Oryctolagus cuniculus: one gene and its partners. The protein of the gene in region 4 purifies or fractionates together with the protein of the main gene of each other region. This does not show direct contact. Links are inferred from orthologs where the notes say so. Each region holds a gene or a part of one and is shown on either strand. Other genes may lie near its edges. The genes, in order: TUT1, RPL26, KPNA2, LARP7, SRSF4, DHX9 and KPNB1.

What was found.
Region 1: the proteins of LARP7 (region 4) and TUT1 purify together in Homo sapiens (affinity purification with mass spectrometry; 4 studies listed by BioGRID and IntAct, with this or other methods). This does not show direct contact. The link is inferred for Oryctolagus cuniculus from reciprocal best matches to the Homo sapiens genes LARP7 and TUT1.
Region 2: the proteins of LARP7 (region 4) and RPL26 purify together in Homo sapiens (affinity purification with mass spectrometry; 3 studies listed by BioGRID). This does not show direct contact. The link is inferred for Oryctolagus cuniculus from reciprocal best matches to the Homo sapiens genes LARP7 and RPL26.
Region 3: the proteins of LARP7 (region 4) and KPNA2 purify together in Homo sapiens (affinity purification with mass spectrometry; 3 studies listed by BioGRID and IntAct, with this or other methods). This does not show direct contact. The link is inferred for Oryctolagus cuniculus from reciprocal best matches to the Homo sapiens genes LARP7 and KPNA2.
Region 5: the proteins of LARP7 (region 4) and SRSF4 purify together in Homo sapiens (affinity purification with mass spectrometry; 3 studies listed by BioGRID and IntAct, with this or other methods). This does not show direct contact. The link is inferred for Oryctolagus cuniculus from reciprocal best matches to the Homo sapiens genes LARP7 and SRSF4.
Region 6: the proteins of LARP7 (region 4) and DHX9 purify together in Homo sapiens (affinity purification with mass spectrometry; 3 studies listed by BioGRID and IntAct, with this or other methods). This does not show direct contact. The link is inferred for Oryctolagus cuniculus from reciprocal best matches to the Homo sapiens genes LARP7 and DHX9.
Region 7: the proteins of LARP7 (region 4) and KPNB1 purify together in Homo sapiens (affinity purification with mass spectrometry; 3 studies listed by BioGRID and IntAct, with this or other methods). This does not show direct contact. The link is inferred for Oryctolagus cuniculus from reciprocal best matches to the Homo sapiens genes LARP7 and KPNB1.

The regions. Positions count from the first base shown.
Region 1 is NC_091432.1:8,967,678-8,971,869, reverse strand, and holds part of TUT1 (speckle targeted PIP5K1A-regulated poly(A) polymerase), read right to left. Parts: intron 1,052-4,192; coding exon 736-1,051; intron 556-735; coding exon 455-555; intron 1-454. UniProt on the Homo sapiens protein: Poly(A) polymerase that creates the 3'-poly(A) tail of specific pre-mRNAs. Localizes to nuclear speckles together with PIP5K1A and mediates polyadenylation of a select set of mRNAs, such as HMOX1.
Region 2 is NC_091448.1:52,826,066-52,830,770, forward strand, and holds the start of RPL26 (large ribosomal subunit protein uL24), read right to left. Parts: upstream 3,307-4,705; 5' UTR 3,174-3,306; exon of another isoform or gene 2,837-3,173; intron 2,462-2,836; 5' UTR 2,457-2,461; coding exon 2,289-2,456; intron 1,436-2,288; coding exon 1,295-1,435; intron 1-1,294.
Region 3 is NC_091448.1:13,984,375-13,987,634, forward strand, and holds the end of KPNA2 (importin subunit alpha-1), read left to right. Parts: intron 1-650; coding exon 651-800; intron 801-2,303; coding exon 2,304-2,396; 3' UTR 2,397-2,628; downstream 2,629-3,260.
Region 4 is NC_091439.1:52,312,574-52,317,369, reverse strand, and holds the start of LARP7 (la-related protein 7), read left to right. Parts: upstream 1-1,621; 5' UTR 1,622-1,907; intron 1,908-2,065; exon of another isoform or gene 2,066-2,393; intron 2,394-4,796. UniProt on the Homo sapiens protein: RNA-binding protein that specifically binds distinct small nuclear RNA (snRNAs) and regulates their processing and function.
Region 5 is NC_091438.1:142,561,171-142,565,362, reverse strand, and holds part of SRSF4 (serine/arginine-rich splicing factor 4), read right to left. Parts: intron 2,220-4,192; exon of another isoform or gene 980-2,219; intron 441-979; exon of another isoform or gene 331-440; coding exon 157-330; intron 1-156. UniProt on the Homo sapiens protein: Plays a role in alternative splice site selection during pre-mRNA splicing. Represses the splicing of MAPT/Tau exon 10.
Region 6 is NC_091444.1:1,034,161-1,038,352, reverse strand, and holds part of DHX9 (ATP-dependent RNA helicase A), read right to left. Parts: intron 2,881-4,192; 5' UTR 2,859-2,880; coding exon 2,748-2,858; intron 1,878-2,747; coding exon 1,737-1,877; intron 1-1,736. UniProt on the Homo sapiens protein: Multifunctional ATP-dependent nucleic acid helicase that unwinds DNA and RNA in a 3' to 5' direction and that plays important roles in many processes, such as DNA replication, transcriptional activation, post-transcriptional RNA regulation, mRNA translation and RNA-mediated gene silencing.
Region 7 is NC_091448.1:23,995,502-23,999,693, reverse strand, and holds part of KPNB1 (importin subunit beta-1), read right to left. Parts: intron 3,370-4,192; coding exon 3,217-3,369; intron 911-3,216; coding exon 851-910; intron 276-850; coding exon 186-275; intron 1-185.

The DNA of each region.
Region 1 (4,192 bases), on a different chromosome or scaffold from region 4:
CTTGGGCCATCTTCCACTGCTTTCCCAAGCCATCAGCAAAGAGCTGGATCAGAAGAGCCACTAGGACACAAACCGGTGCCCATACAGGATGCCTGCACCACAAGCAGAGGCTTAGCCTACTACACTACAGCACCAGACCCAAAATAAATAAATCTTTAAAAAAAAAAAAAAAAAAGAAAGAAACGTGGTACATCATAGTACAACCTATGAAATGACGGAGACAATAAAATAGAGAAAATGAGATTTTCAGAGGCAGATTTCTTCTTATAACTGTCATCTATTCTGTGTCAATTCATTTTCATCCTAACTAATGCCTAACCATATTCACATTCCTCCAATTGCAATAACCTTTTCAGAGAGGTCCTATTATACCCATTTTGCAGATGAGAAACTAAGGCCCACTGTCACATGACCATTCTCACTGCCTCTTCCCAGCTGCCCCCTCGTCACTCACCTGAGGTTCTTCCATGTCACCCAGATCCAAGAACAGGTCAAGATCACAGCCATGGACATCAAAGCTGTTTATGGAAGAGCCAAAAGGATGGACCACACAGCCTGGGTGCCGAGCAGAGAATAAAGGTCAAGAAACATTAGGGAGGAGCAGGGGTGGAAGACCATAAAGGAGTGCCCAGGAGGAAGAGCAGTCAGGTAAACACCTCCAGCTGTGACACCGGGATGCAGACACTGAGGAGGGAAGGACAGGAGGCTTCGGACACAGTCGCGGAGGTGACTTACCCGGGAAGAACTCCGTGAAAACCTCCTGCATCAGGGCCACCACCAGGCTCCGAAGCTGTCGCTCGGCCTCAGACAGCTCCCTCAGCCCCACGAGCTTTACCATCTGTGCCCCCACATCTGGGGCTTCAGCCAGTGCCTTGGCCAGGTGCTGACTGTCAGGGGCTGCTCCCTTGGGGGATTTGGAGGCTGGGCTCTGGAACTCCTTCTGCTCCCGTGGCCGGACGCGCAGGCGGTGTCCTCCCAGGCTGTGCTGGGACTGTGACAATACAGCCTCCCGAGCACTCACGTCCCCCATCTCCACGATGGCAAACACTCCCTAGCAGAGAAAGCATGACGGTTTGGACCAAAAATTCAAACCTGTGGTGCAGCAGTGGAATACCTCATACATGGGAATACTATCTTGATGATGCTTTCATTAATAGGGAACATATTTAGAAAAGCAATTCTCTCAGGGCCGAGCTGTGGTACAATGGGTAAAGCCGCTGCTACAGTGCTACCATCCCCTCTGGGCACTAGCTCAAGTCCCGGCTGCTCCACTTCCAATCCAGCTCTCTGCTATGGCCTGGGAAAACAGTAGAAGATGGTCCAAGTCCTTGGGCCCCTGCATGGGAGACCCAAAAGAAGCTGGCTTTGGATTGGCCCAGCTCCAGCCATTAGGGTTTTTGGGGAGTGAAACAGCGGCTAGAAGACCCCTCTCTCTCTCTCCTCTCCTCTCTCTTTCTACCTCTCTGTAACTCTGCCTTTCAAATAAATAAATTTTAAAAAAAGAAAAACAATTCTCTCCCTCACTCTTAACCAACACATTTCTGTCACCCTAATCTGCCTCTGAAAATCCCATTTTGCCTATTTTATCATCCCCTACTCTTCCCAGTTTTATCATTTCACAGGAGATACTAATATCTACTCCCTAACTTTTGTTTTCTAAAAAAAAAAGTTTATTTTTTATTATTTTTTGAAAGGCAGAGGGAGATCTTCCATCTACTGCTTTACCCCAAAATGGCTGCAACAGCCAAGGCTTGGGCCGGGCCGAAGCCAGGAGTCTGGAGCTCCATCCAGGTCACCCACATGGGTGGCAGAGGCCCAAGCAGTCAGGCCACCTTCCACTGCTTTCCCAGAAGCATTAGCAGGGAGAAGCAGTGGACTGGAAGCAGAGCAGGCAGAATGTGAACCAGTACTCTGACATGGGATACAGGTGTCCCAATCAGCAGATTAACCCTCTGCATCACAATGCCTGCTCACTGAATTGTATATTTTATGCTGTGTAAGATTCTCAAATTTTTAAGAAAGGAAAGCTACCAACCCTACACTTACATCTACCCTTATGTCAGAGCAAAGAACGAAAGTGAAGCCAAGGACAAACCACTCTTTGGACCTGCCTAGGCAAGTCTTAGCAGAATCACCAGCCTGCACTTCAGCATCAAGTTTGCAACCAAAGCTCCAGCTAGAAACTAGGTGTCAGGGCTGATGTGGTGGCCCAGTGGGTTATGGCCCCAACTTGCAAAAGGCTTCCCATACTGGAGTGCTTGTTTCAAGCCATGGCTGCTCTAATTCTGATCCAGCTTCCTGCTAACCTGTCAAGAAAGGCTGCAGAAGATGGCCCGACTACTTGTGGGAAACCTAGATGGAGTTCCTGGCTCCTGCCTTTGGCTTGACATAGACCTGGCTGTTGCGGCCATTCGGGGGAATCAACCAGCAGATGGAAGATCTCTTTTTCAAATAAATAAATAAATCTTTTTAAAAAAAAATAAGAAAGAAATTAGCTGTCCCTTTGCCTATCCTTGTCCTTGTGCACCTTTCTCTCAAGAACCTGACAGCATCAGGGAAGCCAGAATTAGCAGACCCAGAAGCAACTGCCCTCAACATTCTTCTCCTCTCAACACCACCTGCCTCAGCTAGAGCTACCATTCGTTGAATGCTCATTATAAAGCCAGAAGTTCACATAAACTATCTCAAAGGCTCCTAAGCCTCCTATAAGGTATATATTGTTGGTGTCGGTGCTGTGGCATAGCAGGTTAATGCCCTGGCCTAGGGCACCGGCATTCCATGTGGGTGCCGGTTCGAGACCTGGCTGCTCGACTTCCGATCTGGCTCTCTGCTGTGGCCAAAGTCCTTGGGCCCCTGCACCCCCATGGGAGACCTGGAAGAAGCTCCTGGCTCCTGGCTTCGGATCAGCACGGGTCCGGCCATTGCGGCCAACTGGGGAGTGAACCATCAGGTGGAGGACCTCTCTCTCTCTCTGCCTCTCCTCTCTCTGTGTAGCTCTGACTTTCAAATAAATAAATAAATCTTAAAAATATATATATATTGTTATTTTCATTTTACAAGTTAGGAAATTAACTCCAAGACACTAAGTACTTGTCACTGCTTCCTAAGTAGGATCTTTTTTGTTTTAAAAAGATTTATTTTATTTATTTGAAAGACAGAGTTACAGAGAGAGGTAGAGACAGAGAGAAAGGTCTTCCATCTGCTGGTTCACACCACAGATGGCCGCAATGGCTGGAACTGAGCTGATCCAAAGCCAGGAGCCAGGAGCTTCTTTGGGTCTCCCACGCAGGTGCAGGGGCCCAACGACTTGGGCCATCTGCTATTCCAGGCCATAGCAGAGAGCTGGATGGGAAGAAGAGCAGCCGGGACTAGAATCGGCACCCACATGGGATGCCAGCGCTTCAGGACAGGGCTTTAACCCACTGCGCCACAGCGCTGGCCCCCCTAAGTAAGACCTTAAACTTCCAAATGCCCAACTTCTCACTGATGATTTTTTTTTTCAAGAATGGTGGAAATTAAATGAGATAGTGTGTGTAAAATACTTAGTACATAATTGGTGCATAGTAATTATGGAAAAATTTTAATCATCATTGTTATAATAATTAGAACCCTCAGAAACTTGAGGTTTAACTTCAGGACAAGATCATTAATTGCAAATTAAATAAGTTATCAACAAACACAAGGTCACTGAACTTCCCAAAGAAGTAACCTGGGGCAGACACTGCCAAGTACCCATCAAATACACGTTCTCGTTTCCTCCTTACTAACAAAACCCTGATTTTGCTGAGAGGCAAACTGCCCGCTAAAAATGCTTAATTTCCCAAGCTTGCCTATAACACGGGGAAAAGCCCTCTGGAGAAAGTTTTTCCTCAGAAATTAAAAAAAAAAAAAAAGTGGGAGTTACACTCAGCTGGCACTGGCCTTCTACATCATACTCTTCAACCTGCCTCCTTCGGCCTAAAGATGGGTAAGCAGCAGTTGCACAACTATGAGGTAAGAACCGTGTGCCAATAATAATGACAGAGCAGCAGGAAAACTGCACAACCCAGGACTGCCAAGGTCTGGATTATTGGTTACATGAGAAAAGCTAGATTATTTTTAAGCCATTTGTAGTAGAGTTACTCAATACAGTCCTAACAAAAACCAGCCCACCCACCCCGAACCTAAAAGAAGGGCCTAGGCTGCTTAAGGA
Region 2 (4,705 bases), on a different chromosome or scaffold from region 4:
GAAGCTCCTGGCTTCGGATCGGCGCAGCTCTGGCCATTGCGGCCGTCTGGGAAGTGAACCAGCGGATGGGGATGGAAGACCTCTCTCTCTCTGCCTCTCCTTCTCTCTTTGTGTAACTCTTTCAAATAAATAAAATAGATCTTAAAAAAAAAATTAAATCTTTGCCCTTAAGAGGTAAATATTGAAGTAATGAGAGGGCACTTGCAAATTACTGCTGCGGGTGGGGTGGGTGGGACGGCAGCAAAACAAAAAAACCAAACACATCAATATGGCAGAATTTTGATAGAGAATTCTAGGTAAAAAACATTTGTAGGTGCTTTGCTCTACTACCTTTTGATTTTTATTTAAAATTACACTTACAGCACCAATGTTAAGATCTCAAAAAACAAATAACCCCCTCAAAAGCTTCCAGTATTTCAACACTCATCACTATGCATTAGCTGTTAGCTTTAGGGAGAATTCACATAAAAACCCATGGAAGGCCCGCGCTGCGGCTCACTAGGCTAATCCTCCGCCTTGTGGTGCCGGCACACCGGGTTCTAGTCCCGGTCGCCCCTCTTCCAGGCCAGCTCTCTGCTGTCACCAGGGAGTGCAGTGGAGGATGGCCCAAGTGCTTGGGCCCTGCACCCCATGGGAGACCAGGATAAGTACCTGGCCCCTGCTATCAGATCAGCGTGGTGCGCCGGCCGCAGCACGCCGGCCATTGAAGGGTGAACCAATGGCAAAGGAAGACCTTTCTCTCTGTCTCTCTCTCTCACTGTCCACTCTGTCAAAAAACAAAACCATGGAAAGCATCTGCTGGATGGGAATTAGACCAATTTTCCATGTTGGCTTAGATGCAATAACCACCCCTGGTCGACTTCAGAGCCGCAGGGTCTCTCCCTGTATATAAATGGTCCCCTACCTACTTCACAGGGCTGTAATGCACCCTTAATGTTTCACTCTGATACACAAAAACGAACAGCGCTAAGGCTCCAATTCACCTAATAATGATCTTATTTTTAAATTTTAGGATCTATAAATTGCTAAGGCTGTTCATCTGCCAGGTTTCCCATAGTTTTTGGAAAAAGATACATTAAATATACAAACAGAGCAACTGTTAAAGACACTTTGGTTTCAGAAACATTTTAAGTAGTATTTGAATTTTCAAAACAAATACAGAATTTGCTTTACAAGATTCCCAGCACATCTAAAATCAGGGACTGTTTCCCTGCGACTGTCTGTAAACAAGCAGTCACACCTGCTAATAACTGTGCTCACTTCCTTCTGTTTCAAGCGTTCTCAGAACACCCACCTTGCTGGGGTGAATGCCCACATGGACAGTTGTGCCATTGGCCTTTTCTCGCTGCACCCGCTCAATGTAGATGACGTATTTCTTCCTGTAAACCTGGACTACTTTGCCAATTTGCTGACCCTTGTAGTGTCCTCGCACAACCTGAAATTCAAAAATAGCAGGAATAAGCAGATAAAAACAAGATCATCATTACAAGGGAAATAGTGAATTAAATCTCTAAGAGCTTTCAATTTTGAACGACTTAATGACATTAAGATTCTAGCTCCCTGGTTTTAGCTAAACCATGCCCCCAGGTGTCTACAGAGAGGGACAGTGCATCCCTACAGCTGACAGCTACCAGCAGGGGGAGGCTTATTTAAAGGATGAAAAGAAGCCACCACTTTGGGTTTCTGTAGGAAGTTAACAAGGACCTTGTTATTTTGTCTCAAAAGCAGAACTGGCCTCAAGTCTAATTCACAACCTAGTTAAGTGCCCACTTCAATGCCAGGCAAGAGTGGACTCCAACAAACACACAAGTGAACAAACCAATTCTTTCGCAAAGGTGAGCAGTTTGCTATCCAGGAGTCCTAGCCATCACTCGGCTTGTTAGAACCAACCCAAAGTGCTTCTGAACACGTTTCCTTCCAGTTCCTGACCTCCTTATATTGCTACATCCTGAAAACAAAACACTCAATTGCTTCCAAGGTCTACTGGAGATGTGAGTAGCTGTGACAAATCTTTAATGGAACTATGGTGTTCCATTAAAGAGATTCTGAGTCTAGATTCTTAGCAACTTTTCGGGCCCTCAAATGCCTTTACAATGATCCAACATACTGAGAAAAGGCTAATTCCCAAGGAACCTTCTGCTGGTGCGTTTGGATAATTTGCCTCTTTTATTATGACTGGAGCTGATGCTTGAGAAAACGGATTTTCACCCAATAAAAAGGGAACTGAAAAGCAACGTGTTTTTGGCTCGACTCATCCTGAAATCCGCCCGGACAGCAGGAATACATACTTGCACTTCATCATCCTTTCGGATAGGCATGGATCGCACGTTGTACTTCTGTCTCAGCTCTTTGGAAAGGGGAGAAGACATAATCTTCCGGCGAATGTGGGAAGGGGCATTGAAATGCCTTTTCCGGTTCTTGCTCCGATCAGAAGTCACAAAGGGATTGAACTTCATTTTGGCTGTGTGAAGAATTAAGAACCTCCAATGACTAAAACCTCACACGCTTCCCAAACAGCAGCAACAACTTCCCCCTAAAAACTCAGACCACAGACATCAGTTACACCAGAGAGCTGAACGGCCGGTCGACTAAAGGCTCAATAGAAACAACGCTCCACTGGGGTATTTTCTATATGTCCCTGGGGGAGAGAGAGCGCCCCATTAACACAGCTGCTTTAATCACTAAACTTTCTGTCTACATCCCCCCAAACTCTTTATATTAGATGACCGACAACTCCATTTTTCAACTGTAACATCAGGTTTTGGAAGGACCAAAGTTCACCTTCGAGAGACTTGAGTGTGAACACCTGGCGCCCCCCAAATCACCCTGCCCCCACCTGGAAATCCTGCACAGATCGCAGGTCCCAAAGACCCTCCTAGAGGCGAGCGCGGCCTGCGGTTGTGCGTGGACTTCACTGCCAACAGTTATCTAGGAAACTTCAATTCCTAGACTTCCTCCGCTCCTGCTCCGCTTTCCGAGTCCCCAAATCCCCTGTCCCCCTCCCCTTCGCCTTCTGTGGTCCCTGAGCTAAGCATCAAACAGAAGCCACCCCAAACCCCCTCCCTGGCTGCTGTGCGGCTGGTGGGAGAGTCTCGGGGCCCCCGAATCCGAGAGCCAACGCGCCCACGAACGGATGAGCGTGGATTGCAATCGCCTCCCAGGGAAACCCTCACCAGCTGCCGCTCCGGCGATGGCCACCAAAGGGAAAAGGTTTACACGATACTTCCGGTTCTGTAAGTTTCCGAGCGATCTCGCGAGATTGATGTCTCGGCGAGAGAGGGGCGCGGAGTCGAAAGAAAACTGGGAGAAGTGGATGTCTAGTGTCACCTAGCGGCTCGGAGGGAAACTGCAAGGGACTGTGAAACCCTCCTCCAGGTCTCCCTTCCAAGGCCGGGTTGCTGTTGACTTCCGGGGCGAGTGACGAAGGAGCGGGCGGCCCCAGGGGACCCCGTCCCTGCACTCCTGGTTGCACGGCGGCTGGCGCCCTCTTAGCCTGGCAAGGACAGGCCTTACCTCTGGCCACCAGGTGACGCTGGGACCCCGGCCGACCGGTCACCTGGGCTCCCTGGTCCCCGCCCAGGCCAATGACGTGGGTGTGTAAACGTGCAGGTCCTTTAGTTAGCTCCAGCCGGGCGCCCCGCCGCCCCCACGCCCAAGGCTGGAGCCCCTGATCGCCCCCAGCCCACTTCGTAGAAGCGGGTCTGAAGCAGCGTTGCTGTCCCACTCCTGGGTGATGCCGAGAGTGGCGGCGCTGACTTGGGAGGAGCCGGACGGCCCCTGTCCGGACGTTCTGCCCCTCGTGGTTCAGCTCCGGATCTGTGGGAGGCGGGGAAGGGGTGCGCCCCCGCGCACAGGGACGCTGCGGTGGGCTGCAGTAGGGCGAGCCGGCGGCGTCGCGGCTAGGGCGTGGTTTCTCTGGAATGAATGGTGTCCTAATGACAGAAGACACACGTTTCGTAATAGGGCACCGAGACGCAATGAGCTAGCCGAGTGCTAGGGACACCCTTCTGTGTGTTTTACATCATCCACTCCTAGGATTCCCAAAATAGCCCTATTGATGCTGCTATTATTGTCCTCATGTTACACCTGGAGCTGCTGAGTCACCGAGAGGTGTGACACTTGTGCAAGGTCGCAGGGCGCCTGTGCAGGGTGGCTCCCCAGCCCCTTCCGGCAACTCCCTCTATGGCCCCACATCGTAGGAGCCCACTGGGTTAAGTCAAAGAAACAGTATCCTTGAGGGCCCAGAGTCCTGTCTGTGGAGAATAGGAATTTTGATGATTTACAAACATTTGGTGGGGCTGTTACTGTGGCGTAGTGGGTTAAGCCACTGTCTCCAGCGCTGGCATCCCATATGGGTGCTGGTTCATGTCCCGGCAGCTCCACTTCCGATCCAGCTCCCTGCTAACATGCTTGGGAAAGCAGTGGAAGATGGCCCAAGTGCTTGGACTCCTGCACCGATGTGGGAGACCCCGAAGAAGCTCTTGGTTCCTGGCTCCTGGCTTCAGCCTAGCCCAGCCCCAGCTGTTGCAGCCATTTGGGGAGTGAACCAGCAGATGGAAGAAGCTCCTGGCTTCGGATCAGCCCCTCACCAGCCATTGCAGCACCTGGGGAGTGAACCAACTGATGGAAGATCTCTCTCTGTGTCTCACTCCCTCTGTAACACTACCTTTCAGGTAAATAAGTAAATCTTTTTTTAAAAAAGTTA
Region 3 (3,260 bases), on a different chromosome or scaffold from region 4:
AGAGGAGCAGCCCAGACACAAACTGGCGCACACACCTGCCATCCCCTCCATCCGTAGCCACTAGTGTAGGCTCAGCCTATTGCGCCACAGCACTGACTCCTCTAAATGCCCATTCTACCACACTCTTCCTAGGGATTATAAGAGGCATGTAACAGGTGATTAATGAATGACACGACTTTAATTGAAGTCAAGTCTTGAAGTGAAAGCTATTCATACTACTTATTTTGTCAGGTATATTTAACCCCCCAATTTCATGCTAAATTTTGGTGAAATTAGCTATATTTTTCTCGTTTGACCTGAGGATGATTTAACCCTGCCGGCACATGGCATTTTGCCGTAGTGATTGGTACCAACTTCTAGATCTGGTTCTGGAAATTATTACATGTTGAAGCTGGATTCAGAATAAGGAAGGCTGGTGTCTATCGCCATCTGTAAATTATGAGTGACTGGTTCTCCCACCTTCTCTCATGTACCTGCTACATTGAGTTTCAAAAAAAATATAAAGTGGACATAAGACTATCATTAGGATTGTTAAAGAAACTGTTAATGTGCATTCCTGTCTGATATATGAAAGCTTTGATATGTGTATTTTCATTAAAATAGAACCATCAGAGAATAAACCAGTAAACTGGACCTTTCTTTTCTTTTAGGCTGCTGAGAAATTAGGTGAAACTGAGAAACTTAGTATAATGATTGAAGAATGTGGAGGCTTGGATAAAATTGAAGCTCTTCAAAACCATGAGAATGAATCCGTGTATAGGGCTTCATTAAACTTGATTGAGAAGTACTTCTCTATAGAGGTGAGCTACTGTTAATAACAACTTGGAAAATACACATGTATGGGCAAACTATGAGATGTTCTTTTTTTCTCTTTGTACTTTAAGTGAGTTCCATACATTTAAAAAAATTTTTTTATAAAGATTTATTTATTTGAAAGAGTTACATAGAGAGAGGAGAGGCAGAGAGAGAGAGAGAGAGAGAGGTCTTGTATCTGCTGGTTCACTCTGCAGATGGCCACAACGGCCAGAGCTGAGCTGCTCCTAAGCCAAGAGCCAGAAGCTTCCTCCAGGTCTCCCATGTGGGTGCAGGGGCCGAAGGACTTGGGCCATCTTCCACTGCTTTCCCAGGCCATAGCAGAGAGCTGGATCGAAGTGGAGCAGCCGGGACTCGAACCAGTGCCCATATGGGCTGCTGGCACTGCAGGAGGCGACTTTACCTGCTACACCACAACACTGACCCCAATTTTAATGTTTTTGAGAGAGAACTATAAGCTGGTTCATTCCCTAAATGCCCATAATGCCTGAGTCTAGGCCAGGCTGAAGCTAGAAGCCAGGAGCTTAAACAAAGTCTCCATGTGGGTGACAGAGACTCGAGATACCAAGCCATTACTGCCTTCCCCCAGGGTGCATACTAACAGGAAGCTAAAATCAGGAGTTAGGGCCAGGATTTGAACTCCTAGTAGCTTTTTTTTTTTTTTTTTTTTTTTTGACAGGCAGAGTTAGGTCTTCCTTCCGTTGGTTCACCCCCCACATGGCCGCTATGGCCAGTGCACTGCCCCTATCTGAAGCCAGGAGCCAGGTGCTTCCTCCTGGTCTCCCATGCGGGTGCAGGGCCCAAGCACTTGGGCCATCCTCCACTGCCCTCCCGGGCCACAGCAGAGAGCTAGACTGGAAGAGGAGCAACCGGGACAGAATCCGGCGCCCCAACTGGGACTAGAACCCGGGGTGCCGGTGCCACAGGCTGAGGATTAGCCTATTGAGCCACGGCGCCGGCTGAACTCCTAGTATCTTAACTGCTAGGCCAAACACCCACCCCCTGTACCCTTGTTCAGTATTGCAAAATGTCAAAAAAATATATTTAGGACTTGCCCATATAATATTTGGGTTGATGATATTTAACCTGAAATTTTAAAAGTCACTAGTTTACTTTCAAATGAACAATCTTGGGAATCGGAATATCTTTAAAGTTTATGGTTGTCATTGTAGGGATTCTTGGAGAAGTGGGTGAACTCTGATCGTAGTTGGCTCTCTTTCTACTGACAAGTGGCAGGTGGAACAGAAAAATCTCAATTTTGCTTGTAGTAGCATTCTTTAACCCACTCAGAACTGCTTCTCCCAGGCATTCCTGACTTGTCCGGGTTTCAGCGGCCCTTCCCTCCTCCTGTGTCAGACAGAAAGAATATGGTCTCAGGGTTGAAGGTGGGTGTGCAGCTGTAAACTTTATGAGCAGGTCGAGACTTGAGGCATGCTACTGCTTAGAAATGTGCCATATTTATGGGGTCACGTTGCTTTTTCATGTTTCAGGAAGAGGAAGATCAGAATGTTGCGCCAGAGACCACCTCTGAAGGCTACACCTTCCAAGTGCAGGATGGGGCGCCGGGCGCCTTTCACTTCTGATCGCACTGCTGAGGCACCAGTCATTTTGTTGTTTGTCTTACTGTTTCTCTACTAAGACCTTTTTTTAAATGTGGTTTGTTATTGTAGCACTTTTACAACAAAACTATACTTGAACAGTTCCAAACTGTACATACTGTATGAAGCTTGTCCTCTGAATGGGTTTCTTACTTCTGTGGAATTTCGTATCTTACAGTGTCCTGTAAATAAAGATAAAATTCCACCCCTTTCTTCACCTGGTGTGTGTGTTGTTTTCTAATTCGGAGCTCTAATGTTGCAGATGAAGGGTCCGTGGCAACCAGTCAGTGGGGCCAGTCCTGACTGTAGGAGGTGGGGTGTGGATAACTTTTCTTCCGGATTCCGAGTCTCTTGGTTTGGTGCTAAGCTGCTGCTTGTCCTTTTGGTACTTAAACACCTGATATCTGTTTGCTAAAGCTGGAATCAGAAGTTTCACAGAAAGAGGAGTGAAGTTTCCAGAAGTCCTCAGCCAGTGTTTTTAGGTTTCACTGACCAGGGAGATGGGATAAAAATCTTAAATTTAGTCACGCTCCTCCTGGAGCTACAAGTGGGAATCGTTCCTCCCAAGTGAGACCTGGTGCTACATTGGCATCACCTGGGCACGGTTACCCAGGAGTTCTGGTTCATTTGTTGTAAGACTTTTTTTTTTTTTTGACAGGCGGAGTAGACAGAGAAAGGTCTTCCTTTTGCCATTGGTTCACCCTGCAATGGCCGCTGCGGCCGGCGCATCGCGCTGATCTGAAGCCAGGAGCCAGGTGCTTCTCCTGGTCTCCCATGCGGGTGCAGGACCCAAGCACTTGGGACATCCTCCACTGCACTCCCGGGCCACAGCAGAGAGCTGGCCTGGAA
Region 4 (4,796 bases):
GGGTCAAACTCTCTATGATGGCAAAAAGAGCCTTTGGGATTACGCCTAAAAAAAACTAGGGCCGGTGTTGTGGCACAGCAGGTAAAGCTGCCACCTGCAATGCTGGCATCCCATAAGCACTGGTTCGTGTCCAGGCTGCTCTACTTCCTATCCAGCTCCCTGCTAATGGCCTGGGAAAGGCAGTGGAGGATGGCCTGGGTGCTTGGGCCCCTGTCACCAATGCGGCAGACACAGAGGAAGCACCTGGCTCCTGACTTTGGTATTGCCTGGGTTGGAATCCTGGTTCCTCTTCCAATCCAGCTTCCTACAGGTGTACATCCTAGCAGGGAGTTCAAGTAATTGGGTCTTTTGCAACCCATGCAGGAGACAAAGATGGAGTTCCTGGCTTCCAGCTTTGGTTTGGTCCAGTCCTGGCCAACATCAGAGGGTGGAAGATCGGTTTGTGTGTTTGTCTTATCTTCTAAATAAAAAGATATTAATTTTTTTTCTTAGTGCTAATCTGTCTACATTTGTCAGACAATTCAAGTGGTGACCCACTTCCTAATCCGTGAAAGATAAATCAGCAAATAACTTTTTAAAATGATGTGGAGATTCCAAATGTTCAGTGATAATTATATATGCACATACACACAGATATATTATGGTGCTGTTATATTACATATGCAAAACTGGGTGTTCTCAGTTTTTAAAAATGAGCCATTTTCCAGGGCTGTGGTACAGAAAGTTAAAGCCCTGGTCTGCAGGACTGGCATCCCATATGAGTGACGGCTAGAGTTCCCGCTGCTCCACTTCCGATCCAGCTCTCTGCTATGGTCTGGGAAAGCAGTAGAAAATGCCCAACTCCTTGAGGCCCTGCACTCTATGGGAGACCCAGAGGAAGCTCCTGGCTCCCAGCTTAGGATCAGCTCAGCTCTGGCTACTGTGGCCATTTGGGGAGTGAACCAAGCGGATGAAAGACTATCTCTGGCTCTAGATCTTTTTGTAGCTCTTTCACATACATACAATAAATCGTTTTTTTTTAATGAGCCATTTTTCCTGTAAATTACAAGATGTTTCTGGTTCCCATGTTTTTGAACAAGCAGTATGTTTCAAACCTAAACTCCTTAACGGTTCAAACTTAAAAGTTTCAGAATACGAGCTCAACATCCTATTAGGAAACCAACCAGAACAAACAACCAAAGGAAATCCACACGTCATTTGCCAAGATCCTAATAAATCTGAGCCGTTGTTTTGAAGGACAATAGAGATAGACTTTAGGGTCATGAAAACAAACAGCAATACCCCTCTGGTCCTCACGGGCAGGCGGAATTGCAAAACAAAAGACTTGAAGAGGAGACACCAATTACCACGGGCGGTCCGGGCAAGCTGCGCCTGCTACCGCCCCCATCTCGGCCCCAAACAGCATTCTTCCCGGTCCGCTTCTGCGGAACGGACTCTTTCGGCCCCTAATCCTAAATCGCTCAAGTCCCCTTCACTGTCCACCCTTCATTTCCCAGATACCCCGAAAGCCACTTCACCTCGTCCCACTGCACAAAATCCACTTTTCGAATTTCTCCCGCGAAAATTTAGTGACGTCATCAAACCGGGACCACACCGGATGAAGACCCAAACTGAGGCCGCTCACCCCGCCTCACCTAGAACCGCCATTTTTAACCCGCCAATCAAAATCTTCATTGGCTTCCAGCCGCCTCGGCAGGTCGCGCTCTCCGATGTCCCGCCCTCCTGGAGCCAGCCCTCGCGTGTGACGTAGGCGGCGGACGTACGGCCTCCGGGCCCGTCTTTCTGAAGAGGATGAGAGTGTGGTGTCGCTTATCCTATGACGCGCAATAACCACGACTTTAAGCATCAGGAGACGGAAGGGGCTGAAGGACGCCGTCGCTGACGCTGTATTTTTAGAATTGAATCGAGTAAGTTGCAAGTGGCCCCGAAGTCGCGTTCATTGAGTAGTGTTAATCCTCAGTCTCTTTTCTAGCAGCTCATTCTATCATGTGTCGGCTATCTCGTCCCGCCCCCTCCCACGCTACCTTGGGTTCGCTAGGCCTAGTTCTCTGTGCGCACGCGCAGAAGTCCTCTGCTAGCTCTTGCAGTTCCAGTGTGCGGAGAGTGGGGGCGCATAGCGCCCGGCGTTGCGAGGTTTGGGGCACGCCCAGCGCTTGCCGGCGTCTGTAAGGAAGTACGGGTGCCGAGAAGATCAGTAGGTGCTAGGGAAAGTGCTTTATTTTGCCAATTGGAGTTGAAGTTTGTCTGCCAAAGGATAGCGAATGTGAGAACTTGTGTTCTAAGTCATTTTCTTTTACACGACTCTAGTTTTCTCCTCGAAGAGTTGAAAATCTAGTTGTGAGAAGGACCTAGCAATGAGTGCTAAGTACTGCATACCAAAAGCATTCCTAGAGGTACTTGGGGAAAACAAATCGAGCAATTGAGGAGGAGGTAGCGGTGGAAGTTAAGATGCCACCTACCCTGAGCCTTGAAAACCGAATAGGGGTTTATTAGACACAGGAGTTCTTTTGAAAAAGTGATAAAAGTTACGCATCAGCTTCCCAAGAGAATGTGCATATACTTATCAAAATATTTTCTGTTTAATTTTACTAGGAAATGTGTGAAAGACTTCGAAATGGCAAAAAAAATAATTACTTGGGGTCTTGTTTAACTCCTCCGAGATATCAATGCCTTTTATTGTCATTGAGCTCTTTTACAGTTGTGTAACTTGTAGAAAATGATAAATGGAAATCAGGTTTGTCTAGTGGAGATGTAGTTATTACCTCGCAGTTTAATGAAGTTCGGAAAAATGTTTATTTACTTGAAAGGCAATGGGACAGAGAGTGAGAGAAAGAGATGTTTTCCATCCTCTGGTTCACTCCCCAAATGCCAAGGCTGGACTGGACCAGGCCAAACACAGGAACCGGGAACTCCATCCCGGTCTCCCCCATGGGTAGCAGGAAGCTGGAGGTGGGACTCCGTCCCAGGCCTCCAGGATTAGGAATGTCTAAGTCCCACTTGGTGACTTAACTCACTGCCCCACAATGTAACTGCCAAGTTCACAAGAAGCCTTGCGTGAGGGGCAGGACTTTGTCCAAGCTGATCAGATGCTGCTTGAACAGCATCTTAACTCCTGTCAGATCTCTTGGGTTTGAGTCCCAGCTCTTCCCCTTCCTATCTAGCTTCCCGATTAGCACATCCTGGCACCCTGGAAGGCAGCAGATGGTAATTCAAATAATTGGGTCTCTGTCACCACATGGGAGGCCCCAATTGAATTCCTAGCTCCTGACTTCAGCCTTGCCTAGCCCCAACTGTTGCAAGCATTTGGAGAGTGGACCAGCAGATGGAAGAGATCTCGCTCTCTCTGGCCTTTGAAAGAGAAAGAAGTAAAGGAAATTGTAATCACCTAGATCTAAAAAGAAAGAATTCCTGGGTCAGAACATAGCATGCTAGTAACAAATTACAAGTGGCTCTACTGAAAGTAGGAATTAAGAGTCAAACAGACTTGGGCTCACTTACCCAGCTGGTTTTAGCCAAGTCACTTAACCTTTGAGTTTCTGTGAAAATAAACTACCTAGTGGGTTTCTGAGGCTTTAGAACAATGTAGAGTAACTGGCATTGTTACACAGTAACTTATTCTTTGTTTAAAGCCTATATTTAGAAGCCAGATTGGTTGGTTTTCTTTTTTTTCTTTTAATGCATGTCATTGAAAAGTGCCAAAGAATTTCTGATGTTGGGGTTTGACATCAATCTCAGAAAAACGAATCCATTCCAGACAAGTTACACATAGGCTTCTGTGTATGGCTGCTAGGATACTTTATCAAATGTTATCTTGTTACTAGTGACAGTAGTGGAAAATAATGAATGGATAGATGGAAGGAGGAAGGAAGGAACAAAGGAAATGAGAAGTCAAATTGATAGGATTTAGAGTGCTAAATCATGATAATGATTACATGTTATTGAGTATGTTCTGTAAAGCAGCAATTTGAAGTGCTTCATTTCCATTATTGTGATTAATCCTCACAACAGCCATATTATGTGGTTATAATTTTTATCCATGTTTTATAGGCCATAGATGAGGTAACTTGCTCAAAATCTGTGCAGCTAGCACATAGCATCATTTGTTAGCTTGATAGAATAGGTATCCTTAAGTAAGAGCATGGTGGTAAAGCAGGCCTGGGGAGGAGAGTTGGAGACTTGGAATGTGTGGAATCACAATATATAACTCTGATTTTCTGCAGTCATTGTTTGGGAAAAGTAAATTTAACCATTTCTTATATCACTTTCTGTTTAGTCTTTGTCTTTTAATTGAAGATATATTTCATCAGTCTGAGCTTAAATACTGTAAGACACAAAAATAATCCTTTTAATAAGAAAGAAGGAGTCTTTGGGCTGAGCTGTGAAAATGGAGGGGAAAGTTTTCTGGGAGAATTGTGACTTATGTGCATGTGCAGCTCTGTCCACTGCTTCTTAAGTGGTGGCTCAGACAAGGAAACTAGTTGGAAAACAGGTTGTCTGCTCCTTACGATTCATTGTTGACACTGGAGCCTGCTACAGTGATAATCATAGACTACACTTGTACCTTTTTAAAAAAAAAAAAAAAGATTTATTTCATTTATTTGAAAGGCAGAGTTTACAGGAAGACAGAGAACTTGCATCCACTGGCTGACTTGCCACATAACCTCAGCAGCTAGAGTTGGGCCAGTCCAAAGCCAGGAGCCAGGAGCTTCTTCCCAGTCTCCTGCATGGGTATAGGGGCTCCTGGCACAGAATCAAGGAGCCAGAGAAGAAGAGTAGCCAGGACTCGAACCAGCACC
Region 5 (4,192 bases), on a different chromosome or scaffold from region 4:
ACCAGAATCTGCTGGGGAGTGGACATGAGGAGCAGGGAAAGCAAGCCTCCATGCGTGTGACTGCGTCACCCACCAACGCTGCTTACCGAGGGGCATGCCTTCCATATTCTCTCTAAAAGAAAAATGTGCCCCTTTCCACGGTGGATCTCTGCTCACCTTTGTCCTAAAACTGTGCCACATGCTTTTTCTTTGTATGTGGACATGACAGTCCTCAGCCAACCATCAGCAGGATGTGTTTTGTTTTCCCAATGTGGTGAGCCATTCCCACATTCACTCATTTTCCTGGTAAGAACCGAACCTCTCCATGGCTGGTCAGGCTTAGGGATGTTGCTGTAGCCAAGGAAAAATGTTCATCTGTTGAAGTTAACCCACGGGTGGCTTGAACCCTCAATCTAGAGTCAGTAGCACTGTATTTTAAGGGCAGGGCCCTTAAGTCTGCCCTGAAAGAAATGGCATTCAGTGAACAGGAATCAAACAGCTTTCTGTCAAAGCACTCAGTGTTGGTCCTACACTTCAACCAACTTGGTCTTAGGAGGTGAAAAAAGTTAGGACACATGGACAGGATGGCAATAAAAACAGTAATTTTCACTGTCTGCTTAAGGCAAGTGCTTGGAGAACATAGAAAGACACGTCTGCAACCAACTCCCATGCGCACGTGAGGCACGTGAACGTAACGGTGTAGCTGCTCCCGATTCCAAAGGCAGGCAGCTTTCGGGGACCGGCAGCGTGGGGCCCTCACAGCATTAACAGATGCCGCCTCGACCGCTCAGGGCCAGTGATTACGGTTGCAGTTGACTTTCCCAGTGCCGGAGGGTTCTTTATAACCCACTACTGGAGCTGCAAACACAGGAGTAGGCTCCTGAGACCCTTGCCTATCCTGAGATGGGAAGGAGGCTGCTCTGGGCATTCTGGCCTCCCTTTCTTTAGCCTCAAAGGAGGGAGGGCCATCAAGGCCACCCGGAGAAGGTGGATGACTTACCCGTGCTCACTGAGTGGCAGAGCTGGGGTGCGACTTCAGGGCTCACCATTACCCAGTCTGGGGCTCTTTTCACGTCGGCAAACTGGCAGTTCCGCACACCAAGAGCTTTCTGATTAGAGCTAGTGTGGATTCCTGGTCTGCACACGTTGGCCACAGCTCAGTCTGCACTTGATCTTTCCCCACCTTCAAAGAAGAAAACCTACCTCATGATTTCTCTCTTCTGGATCCCCTAACCATCTAATTCACTCCCAACAACCTTGAAATCGCTTTTGACAAGTTCTCTTGGGTTTCGAACTGGGTCTACTGACAAGTTCCAGTTTTCTCATTTTGCTGGGCACTCAGGGCTGTCTCTACCTGTCTGACCAACAGATGTAATTCTAGGATGCAGCTATTTTTACTTAATCAATGTGTCCCTTTATATCAGCGAAACTCAGCTAAATCATTCTTTTGCTTAGACATCTAGAATGACCCCTGAAGAACTTTTTAAATTCATTCTCTAAACCTGGAACACCTGACTACACAAGTTAAATCACGTCAATCTTTTCCCATGTCTGAGAGTTTACCTCTTTTCATGAGTCCCTAGAAAACTGCCTGAGTTCAAACATTTTAGCATTTCAATTTTATGCTTTACGTGCATGCTTTTGTGGCTCTTCAAGCCTTGTTCTTTCCGTTGTGCCTGCCTTCTCATTTGATTATGAGCTCTTCAATAACAACAGAGCTAGTGCATGTTGGGTATTTAGCACATGGTAAATAATTTATCCATAATATTACATTGATTCCTCATATCAAATATGAATATATTATTATTATTATTTCCATTTTATAATGAGAAAACTGAGGCTTAGAGAGGCTAAACAAGTAGCTTTTTGTCCCCAAGCTAAGGAGTGGTGGAGCTGCATTTGAACTCAGATCCATGACTGGAAAACGTAAGGCTCACTCACTGCCTTTTACAGGCTGATGCTTCTCTCCATGGTCCCGAGTACAGTCTTTTCTCATTTGACAAATGTAGTTGCCTTAGTGGTGCTCTAGCCTCAGATAAGCCATGCTGTAGTACAGTTTTTTGACACAGCGGGGTGAAGTCTCCAGGGAAAAAGGAATTGACCTTGGGGCAGGGTGAAGCACCTCTAAGGTGGGGGTATGTGACAACCAGGTTACTTTCACTCTTGTCTTTTGGTTCCCATTAGCCAGTGTCAGCCATCTGGTCCTTCCGAAAACATGTGTGGGTTCAGAACATAACAGACTAGAAGAATAGAGGAAAAATAAGATTATTCTGTGCAATCCCCATCCTGGAGGTCCCATATCAACCCCTAGAGTCTGTCTTTGGCTCTAAGGCTCAGCAAAAATTAGACCACCATAGAGAAGATAGAGTTGGACCTGGACATGGTAGATGTAGATGGATACTGACAACATCACGCACATAAGAATGCATTTGATTGGTTTCATAAGGAATGGTGATTTGGGACCAAAAAATATAAGCATGAATGGTGGAGAATGATGGGCCAGAAATCAAAGAATACTAGAAGCTTTTCAGATTTGCAACTACACAAGGATTACAGCAGCAACCAGAAAAGTACTTTGCATATGAGAAGCATCTAAATCTTAGTTTTTATTAATTCCAAACAACTATTAACACGGTTACTCCAGCCTGCTAGACTCTTACACTTCAAATCCTTTTAATAATAATCACTCCTGCTTTCGAAAGTCTTACTATGTATTAAGCATTATACTAAATGCTTTGCACATATCATAGTCAATTTTCACAGCTCTGAGACTTACTCTTATCTCACAGATGAAGGAACTAACACTTAAAGCAGTTGAGTAACTTGCCAAGATTACCTAAACACCTAAGAGATTTCAAACCCAGGGGCTAACCTAAAGCCTACATCCAACCACTAGGATCTGCTGTCTCCTAACACCAATGGAAGGAAGGAAGCTCTGAGACCGAGGTTGCAGAAACACAAGCTCTAGGAGCACAGAAAATCAGTTTCATCAGATAAATGTTGATGTGGCTATATTATAATCTTAAGGGAAATACTCAATGACAAGGAAGTATCATTTCTGCACCCTATTTTGCTAATGCAATTAAGTTGTGAATATTTAGTCTGAACTAAGAAACTAGTGGAAATGAATCATTAGGAAACTTGTTATTTCAGCCAATGAATTAGTGGAAAACTCATCATTTCTCCTTCTCTTCAATTAATTCACTGGAAAACCTCTAATGATGAAGCAACAATCAAACTCAGGCCCACGGCATTGATTCTACACTACAAATACTCACTGGGTGAGGGACATGGAGTAAAATCATTACACTAAAAACTAACTAGTAAAACAACATTCTTGGTAGCAGAGGAGGCAGAAAGGAAGCCACCAGAGAGCACCGTCTTCTTTGTAACTGTTCTATGAGCCTACCTGCCGATTTGTTTCAACTAGCCCAAACCTGTTTGCTAAACTGTTTCACTTTTACCAGGAGCCATATTACTATTCCATAAAGTGAGACTACCCAAAAAGCAAAATACATCTGTACTTGTAAACAGCTTATGAATCACACTATCATAATCATAACTCCCCATCATAATTAACTATATTTTTAAAGCGAACATGTTTGCTCTTTTTAAATATAACCATACCTACATCCATTTTAATATTCTTACGCTTATAAACATTACTGTAAATAACAGGTATCATAAAAAAAGGGGGTCAACTATTCTCTGATGACACAATAAAGTTCATAAAGACTCAATCACATGGGCTGGCACTGTGGCACAGTAGGCCAAGCCTCAGTCTGTGGCACCTGAATTTCACATGGGCATTGGTTTGTGTCCCAACTGCCCCTCTTCCAATCCAGCTCTCTGCTGATAGCCTGGGAAAGCAGTGGAAGACGGCTCAAGTGCTTGGGCCCCTGCATGCGTGTAGGAGACCTGGAAGAAGCTCCCGGCTTTGGATCGGCTCAGCTCTGGTTGTTGTGGTCTTTTGGGGAGTAAAGTAGCAGATGGAAGATCTTTTACTTTGACTCTCCCTCTCTGTCTGTAACTCTGCCTCTCAACTAACTAAATAATCTTAAAAAAAAAAAAAAAAGACTCAATCACAAAAAACAAACCAACTTATAACAAAATTTGGGAGTTAACCATATCTGTTACTTATTGATTGAAATAAAGGTTTAAATTCAGCACCCAGCACTACCTGCTTCCACACAAAAGAAACAAAGCCCATCTG
Region 6 (4,192 bases), on a different chromosome or scaffold from region 4:
CCCTGTTATGGCCTGGGAAAGCAGTGGGAGACGGCCCAGGTCCTTTGGCACCTTCATCCATGTGGGAGACCTGGAAGAAGCTCTTTGCTCTTGGCTTGGGATCAGCCCACCTCCAGTCGTTGCAGCCATTTGGAGAGTGAACCAGCAGATGGAAGACCTTTCTTTGTAACTCTGCGTTTCAAATAAACAATCTTAAAAGCAAAATACCAAAAAATACAAGAGGGGTATGTGCTGCATAGCTACACGATTAATTATGGCATAAAAGATGAGGGGCCTGCACTGTGGCATAGGGAGTTGAGCTACCACCTGCAACATTCCATATGGGATTCCATGGGTGCCAGCTCAAGTCCCAGCTACTCCACTCCTGATCCAGCTTCCTGCCAAGGCATTCAGTAAAACAGTGGAAGATGGCCCAAGTCCTTGGGCCCCTGCACCTACACAGGAGACCTGGATGAAGTTGCTGGCTCCTGGCTTCAGCTGGGCCCAATACTGGCCATTGCAGACTTTTGGAAAGTGAACCAGTGGATGGAAGATCTCTCTCTCTTCAACTCTTTCAGATAAATAAATAAACTAAAAAAAAAAAAATATGATACTCCATTGCACAAAATACAGCTTACTTTCTGCTCTATGAGAATTGTTAATGGAAGCACATGTATGTAATCTTGCTGATTTGGTGGTGGTGCTGTGGCACAAGGGGTTTGGTTAAGCCCCTTTGGGAGGTTTGATTCCATATTGCAGTCTGGCTAATCTATCCTTCCAATTCACCTTCCTGCTAATGCACCCAGGAGCTAGAGGACGCTGGCTCAGGTACTTTAGGTGCCTGCCACCCACACGGGAGACCCAGATGGGAGTTCTGCCTGGCCTGGCCTAGGCAGCCGTGGGCATCTGGGGAGTGAACTAGACAATAAAAGACATCTGTCACTCTTTCAAATAAATAAATCTTTGAAAAAAAGTTGCTAAATTTTACATTCTACTTAGTGTTACACTGGAGTGGTATTTGGCCTACCAGATAAGAGCCACTGATGTGCTGTATGAGAGTTCCGTATCCAGCTCTGTTTTGACTCCAGCTTCCTGCTAATTCAGACCCTGCCACTTACATGGGAAATCTGGATAGAGTACCTGCTCTCAGCTTTGGCCTGGGCATTGTGTGCATCTGGGGAGTAAGAAGGTAGATTGAAGCACTCTCTTTTTAAAAAAATTAAAATGTTACTAATTTTTTTCATTAAAAATGTTGTGTTTGAAAGTTTAGAGTATTACTAGACAATGAAAAAATTGCTGCATGAATGAATGAATGAAACCTATCAACCTGGGAAGATTAACAGTATCCCTAAGACAGGCAATTAGAGGCTGACACCCACCCAGCCATCCTATCACCTGTTCTTCTGAAGCCTCAGAAGAGAATACAGATCCTCCTCAGCTTATGGTGGTATCACATCCCGAGAAACCTACAGTCTACAGAAAAGTGAGCATTTCTAACTCACGTGCAGTCTGCATTGCATGTACACCAAGCATCAAGGAACTCACGTGTAAGCTTCTAAACCTGTCGGGTTTAAACATTCCTTTTTTTTCATGCAATGACCCTTTGCTTGTAATAAATTTGTAATCCTTTTCCTCTGTTAATCTGTCATGTTAATTTAACTCATAACACAGCCCAAGAACTTAGAAGGGTAGAGGGAAACTATTTTTCACGCCCCCAAAAAAACACACAAATAAAATGCCTGGCCACAAGTCCTTACCCCAATAGCCGGGACTTCTTCACTCTTGACTTCATTTATTCGCACCAGATAGTTAACAAAGTCTCTGGCGGCATTGCTCTGCGCGTCCTTCTTATTGGTGGAATTGCCCATGCCAGTGTAATTGTATCCTTCCACTCGGACCTTGAAGCCAAAAAAAGGTGTATCAAGAGATCTGCCGGGGTACTCCAGGATTTAAAAATACACAATTCAGTTATTAAGAAATAACAAATAGCTGACTTCTCGAAACATATTCTATGACTATAGCAGAACTAGCACAGCTAAGAGATTCCATGGAATAAATTTATGAAAAAGGCTGAACTGTATTGTCCAATGATAAGTAATCCAAATCAACTTATACAGCTGATCTCTTTGCACATAATAAAAGGTTCCAGAATAAAACCCAACTTTATAACATCCAACAGCAGCTCTCCATCTGTGTTTACTTAGCAATCAAGGGTTCCACTTTCTAAAGAAGTAGAACTGCAAACTGATCCAGCTTCTGCACTCATCCTACTGGTACTGAGAAAACTCCAGGTTCCAATTAGAATAATTTACCACCAGATTGTTGATGAACAGAATAGCCATCAAATAACAATAAAGAACTACTCTGGGGGCTGGTGCCATGGTGTAGTGGGTAAAGCCACCACCTGCCGCACCTGCATCCCAAACAGGCTCTGGCTCCACTAAAGCTCCCTGCCAATGAGACTGGGGAAGCAGCGGAAAGTGGCCCAAGTGCTTGGGCTCCTGCACCCATGTGGGAGACCTGGGTGAAGCTCCTGGCTCCTTTCTTCGATGTGGCCCAGCTATGGCTATGGCCACTGCGGCCATCTGGGGAGTGAACCATTAGATGGAAGACTTCTCTTGCCGCCTCTCATACCTTTCAAATACATAAATAAATCTTTAAAAACAAAAACAAGAACTGCTCTTCTTCAACGTGCAATACACATTTCTTAACACAAAATGCTCTTAATCCCAAATTGAGCTTCATAAGTAGACAATACTCTTCAGTACCTCACACATGAATTTCTGCCTGTTTTTGTTCCCAACGGCTCTAATTTCATAGGATGGGGTCATCTTCCTTTTGCCACACCAGGCATACAGAAAATCTTTAACGTCCCCCATGATTCAGGTGTGTTCTTCAAACCTAAAAAAACGAAAAACAACTAAAAACCCCACTAAAGTTGGTTAAACAGCATAGTATTTGCAAAAATTGTAAACTGCTGAGAATCCAAATTAAGTACAGTATAATCTATCATGCAATTAAAATTGTCTAGGAAGAAGGAACCAGCAGAATCAGGCCTCAGTCCAGGACAGCGTCTGGGCAACTGGGCAACGCGCCACAAATGGATGTGTTGCCCTGGGTCCCAGGAGAACCCAGCTTCTGCTGGTAGCAGCACACAGGAGGGTCAGCATTTTCCTAGACTATAAATCAGGAGAGATTTCCTTTTATGATATGAAGGATAGGTGTCGTCTCTGTACTTTTCAAGATTCTTTTACTGAAGCTGTTTGGCTGAACTTCTATATTTGAGCAGATTCTGAACCTATTAAAAATCTCATCAGTTTCAGACTGCAAAAGATAAATTACCTGATGGCAAATGATTTAGTTAATACAGCTAACTTAGTCAATTTTAATTTCATTATTTCTGGAATCCTTTAACAGTTTTCCACTGAAAACCAGAACACATTTTCTCCCTGAAGTTCAGTGAGAAAACATGAAAATAATACAAATTTCAAATGACTATCAACTGTCAAGATAAAAGACTTGAGAATATTAACACACCCAAGAAAATATCCTGATTTACAATGGTGTTGTGGCATAGCAGTAAAGCCGCCGCCTGTGACGCCAGCATTCCGTATGGGCACCAGTTTGTGTCACAGTTGCTCCATTTCCAGATCCCTGCTAATGGCTTAGGAAAAGCAGAGATGGTCCAAATGTTTGGGCCCCTGCAGCTATGTGGGAGACCTGCATGAAGCTCCTGCCTTTAGGGGCAGGCACTGCAGCACAGTGCGTTAATTCTCCGCCTGCAGGGCTGGCATCCCATATGGACACCAGTTCCAGTCCTGGCTGCTCCTCTTCTGATCCAGCTCCCTGCTATGGCCTGGGAAAGGAGGAAAAGATGGCCCAAGTCCTTGGGGCCCTGCATCCACCTGGGAGACCTGGAGGAAACTCCTGGATCCTGGCTTCGAATTAGTGCAGCTCCAGCCGTTGCGGTCATTTGGGGAGTAAATCAGTGGAAGGAAGACCTTTCTCTATCTCTCCCTCTCAGTCTGTTAACTCTACCTCTCAAATAAATAAATAAAATCTTAAAAAAAAAAAAAAATTCCTGCCTTTGGCCTGGCCAAGCAATGGCCACTGCAGCCATCACCATTTCAACTGTCCGGAGTGAACCTGTGGTTGGAAGATTCCTCTCTTTCAAATAAATAAATCTTTTTAAAAAATTGCCCAGGAAGAAATT
Region 7 (4,192 bases), on a different chromosome or scaffold from region 4:
TGTTTACCAACATGAAGATAGCCCACATTTCCTGGGCACACCGCTGTTGGGCATAAACTTAACTCTCAGATTCCCCCGATTTCCTAACAGTAAGTAGAAGATTACAGAATGAACCAAACGGCAATGAGAATGATGGGCTCTGCAATCAGCTATAAATGCAAATCACATAAAATCAAAATACTTACTGCAAAAAGAGCAGGACCCATGTATGTCTCCATGTACTGGTAATACAGTGACATTATCTTAACCAGATTCTGTAAAGCAGCCACGCGTACCTTTAAAGAGATTAAATGGTTTACTAAAATAATAATGACACAAATGTAGATTCACTCAACTGAGTCAGTGATCTGAAGGTTCATGGAAGCACACATGACAGTGCTGTCTGTCACTGCTCCCCAAAGCTATCTGCCCTCCATTTTTCATGATCCCTCCCTCCAGTTTTCTAGTCCTTCCCTTTGCTTTAAAAGCACCTGTGCAACACACACAGAGCTAAACTCACTGGTGCTTACTCGAACTGAATGTGTCACTTTCACCTGCTTAGGAGTCGCACTTAGATTAGGGCAACAGCTAAACCTGTTTCAATGGCTATATTTGAACAATCACTCGGACAACCTAGGGCAAGAAAGTAAACCTTTAAGAGGACAGCAACCTCCAAATAACTTTTGAGGTAGTATACGACTACTTTTATTCCTTCTTCTCCAATATGTTGGAGAAAAATTGTTAGTAATCTAGTTAGTATTAAGCAAACCTTATTTCTTTAGTCTGACTCCTAGTATCTCAAACTGTATGTGAGAGTTGGCATTTCATAGGGAAGACTTAAAACAGATTTTTTGTAGGATCTCACACTTACCCTCGTATCTGGACACTGTGTGGCTTCACAGACCACCTGCATAATAAAGTGCCTTTCGGACTGCAAGAATAATAAAAATAATCAGGGAAGCAAAAACTATGCACAGGAAAATTCCTAGGCTCTACAGATAAAACTTCTCATCTCCTTGGGTCCACACAGCCTGGCATCATCAGCAACTCCTACTTGAACAGTGGTGGCCTGGAGAAGGCCATGAAGTTCACCTCCAGGGTCTGCTAGAACCTGCCCTTAAGAAGTCCCAAATCTTTGAATCCACAAACTGAGTTTCACTAACTAGAGTTCAGGAAGTAGACAGGAAAACGTAGGTCACAAAAAGATGTTAAGAGGATGCAAAACATCTGCTTTATTTTAGAGACCCCCAAATGTGTTTTTCTGCAAGATGGCTAAGCTCCATCCAATGTCAGGAGAAAAGGGAGAACAGAGTGAAGAACCTCATTTGTTACCTTTCTACATCTGAAATTTAAAAGGAAAGCCCTGTTTTTTAATCAATTAGAAATAAAGGTTGCTCTGTCATCTTATACCTTTCCAACACAAGGCCAAAAACCAGCAAAAACAAGCATACCCCCAAAATTACCTGCAGACCCTGTGAGCCATGAAGTCTACTCATGGATACACCGCCAAAAGAATGAGAGTAGGTCTCAAAAGAAATCTGCCACCATGTTAAAAACCTCATTATTGGAGCTGGCACTGTGGCACAGTAGACTAAGCCTCCACTTCCATATGGATGCTGGTTAATGTCCCAGCTGTCCAATGCAGCTCGCTCTGCCTATGGCCTGGGAAAGCAGTGGAAGATGGCCCCAAGTGCTTGGGCCTCTGTAACTGTGTGGGAGACTCAGAAGAAGCTCCTAACTCCTGGCTTTGGATTGGCCCATCTCCGGCCTTTGCAGCCGTTTGGGGACTGAACCAGTGGATGGAAGATAGCTGTCTCTCTGTTAACTCTTGCCTCTCAAATAAAAAATAAAATAAAAAACATTATTCACAATAGCCAAAATGTGGAAGCAACCCAAATGGATGATTTTAAACAAAATGTGGTATATCTGTATATCTTTGGGCCCCTGCCATCCCACGTGAGACCCAGATGAGTTCCTGAACATGAGTCAGCCTTACAACATGAATGAGCCTCCAGCATCATGGTATGTGGAATAAACCAGCTACAGAAGACAAACACTGTGTGATCCCGCTTTTATGAAGTATGAGAGCAAACACAGAGAAACGCTGGTGGCCAGAGGCTGGGAAAGGAGCTGGTACTCAATGATCCACTTTCAGTTCCACAAGATGACAAAGTTCTGCCGACTGGTTCCACAGCAAGGTGAAGATAATTAGATACTGCAAAATGGTTAGGGGGGCAAATTCTGCTATACAGACTTTACCACATTATAAACAGGGGAAGTATTTTCAGGCAAAACATTTATTTTATTTTATTTTTAAAGATTTATTTATTTATTTAAAAGGAAGAGTTACAGAGAGGCAGAGGCAAAGGCAGAGAGAGAGGTCTTCCATCTGCTGGTTCACTCCCAAAACGGCCACTATGGCTGGAGCTATACCAATCTGAAGCCAGGAGCCAGGAGTTTCCTTTAGGTCTCCCATGTGGTGCAGGGGCCAAAGGACTTAGGCCATCTTCTTCTGCTTTCCCAGGCCAAGCAGAGAGCTGGATTGGGAAGTGGAGCAGCTGGGACTCGAACCAGTGCCTGTTTGGGATGCCGGCACTGCAGGTGGTGGCTTTACCCAATCCACCACAGCGCCGGCCCAAGGCAAAACATTTATATCCCTTACTGCAGCACCAGTTTGAGTCCTGGCTACTCCACCTCTAATCCAGCTCCCTGCTGATGTGCCTGAAAGACAGCACATAGCAGCCAAAATACTCAGGGCCCTGCTACCCAAATGGGAGCCCCAGATGGAACGTGGGCTCCTGTCTTCAGCCTGGCCCAGTCCCAGCTGCTACGGCCATTTGGGGAGTGAACTAGCAGATCAAAGATCATCTGTTTCTCCCTTTCTCTGTCACTATGCCTTTCAAACACATAATTCTTTTAAAATAGCGTATACTATTTTAAAATAGCGTTCTCAAAAGCATCCTCCGGAAGGATATATGAAACAGTGCAATTGCTGTAGTCTTCTTTTTAATCCCAAATTATTCTCACACTTGAACTAAGCTAAGAAACACTTGAATAACATTATTTATAAGAGCCTGACGAAAAATGGCAAACACCTATTCCATGGCTGCATCCCATACAATCCAAATCTCATCAAGAGCGAAAACGAAGGCTCCTGAACAAGGTGGTGCTTTCGAAGTTATCAACTTCATGGAGAAACACCCTCCAAATCTAAACCTTTTGTCAAAAGAAACTTACCTCTTTGTCAAAGTTTGCTTTGGTGAACTCCAGTGAGTTCAGGAGTGCATTGGTAGCAGCGAGCTTCACATTATTACTAGGCTCTTCTTTCCTCATCCCCTGGATTATGGCAGTCAGAATCTCATTGGATTTATCCTGCAGCTGCTCTGGGTCCTGGAACAAGCAGAGAAGTGCAATGACTATAATAAAGAGATCACAGCTAATCAGCAGTCCTTTTAACTACAAAATCCACTTGAGTCTCCTGACTTTGTGATCATTTTCCACTCATTTCCATGTGGGGACAGCACTGCAAATCACCTGCAAAATATTCAATGGCACTGGTAGTCCACAATGGAACTGAAACAAGTTAGTCAACCTCATCTCTGACTTACTGGCATCTCAACTCTGGGCTTCTTCCTCTTCTGTGCACATGGAGATGGCAGTCTGCTGGGTTTTCCTGGCCATATGTACCAAATGACATAAAGCTGCAGAATATGGGCGCCAAGCACCAACACCTGAGCATAAAATCTTGGTTCTCTAAGCCAGCACACAGCAAGGGTTCTAACCTTAGCAGCAGCAAGCCTTTCAGAGGACCACATCTAAGATGCTGTGCTGGGCTGATCCTGTGCTGCGGAAGGCTAAGCCGCCACTTGTGATGCCATATCCCACACAGGCGTACCAGCTCGAGCGCTGGCTGCTCTGCTTCAGATCCAGCTCCCTGCTGATGCGCCTGGGGAGGGCAGTGCAAGATGGCCCAAGTGCTTGGGCCCCTGCCATTCCATGTGAAAGACCCAGACGGAGTTCCTGGCTCCTGGCTTCAGTCTGGCACAGTACTGGCGGCTCTGGACATTTGGGAGTCTGTCTCTGTGGGGCAGGTATCATGGCATAACAGGTTAAGCTGCCACTTAGAATGCCTACATTCCATACAGGAATCCTCGGGACTGAGTCCGACTCCACTTCCAATCCAGCTTCCTGCTAATGTGCACCTGGGAAGCAG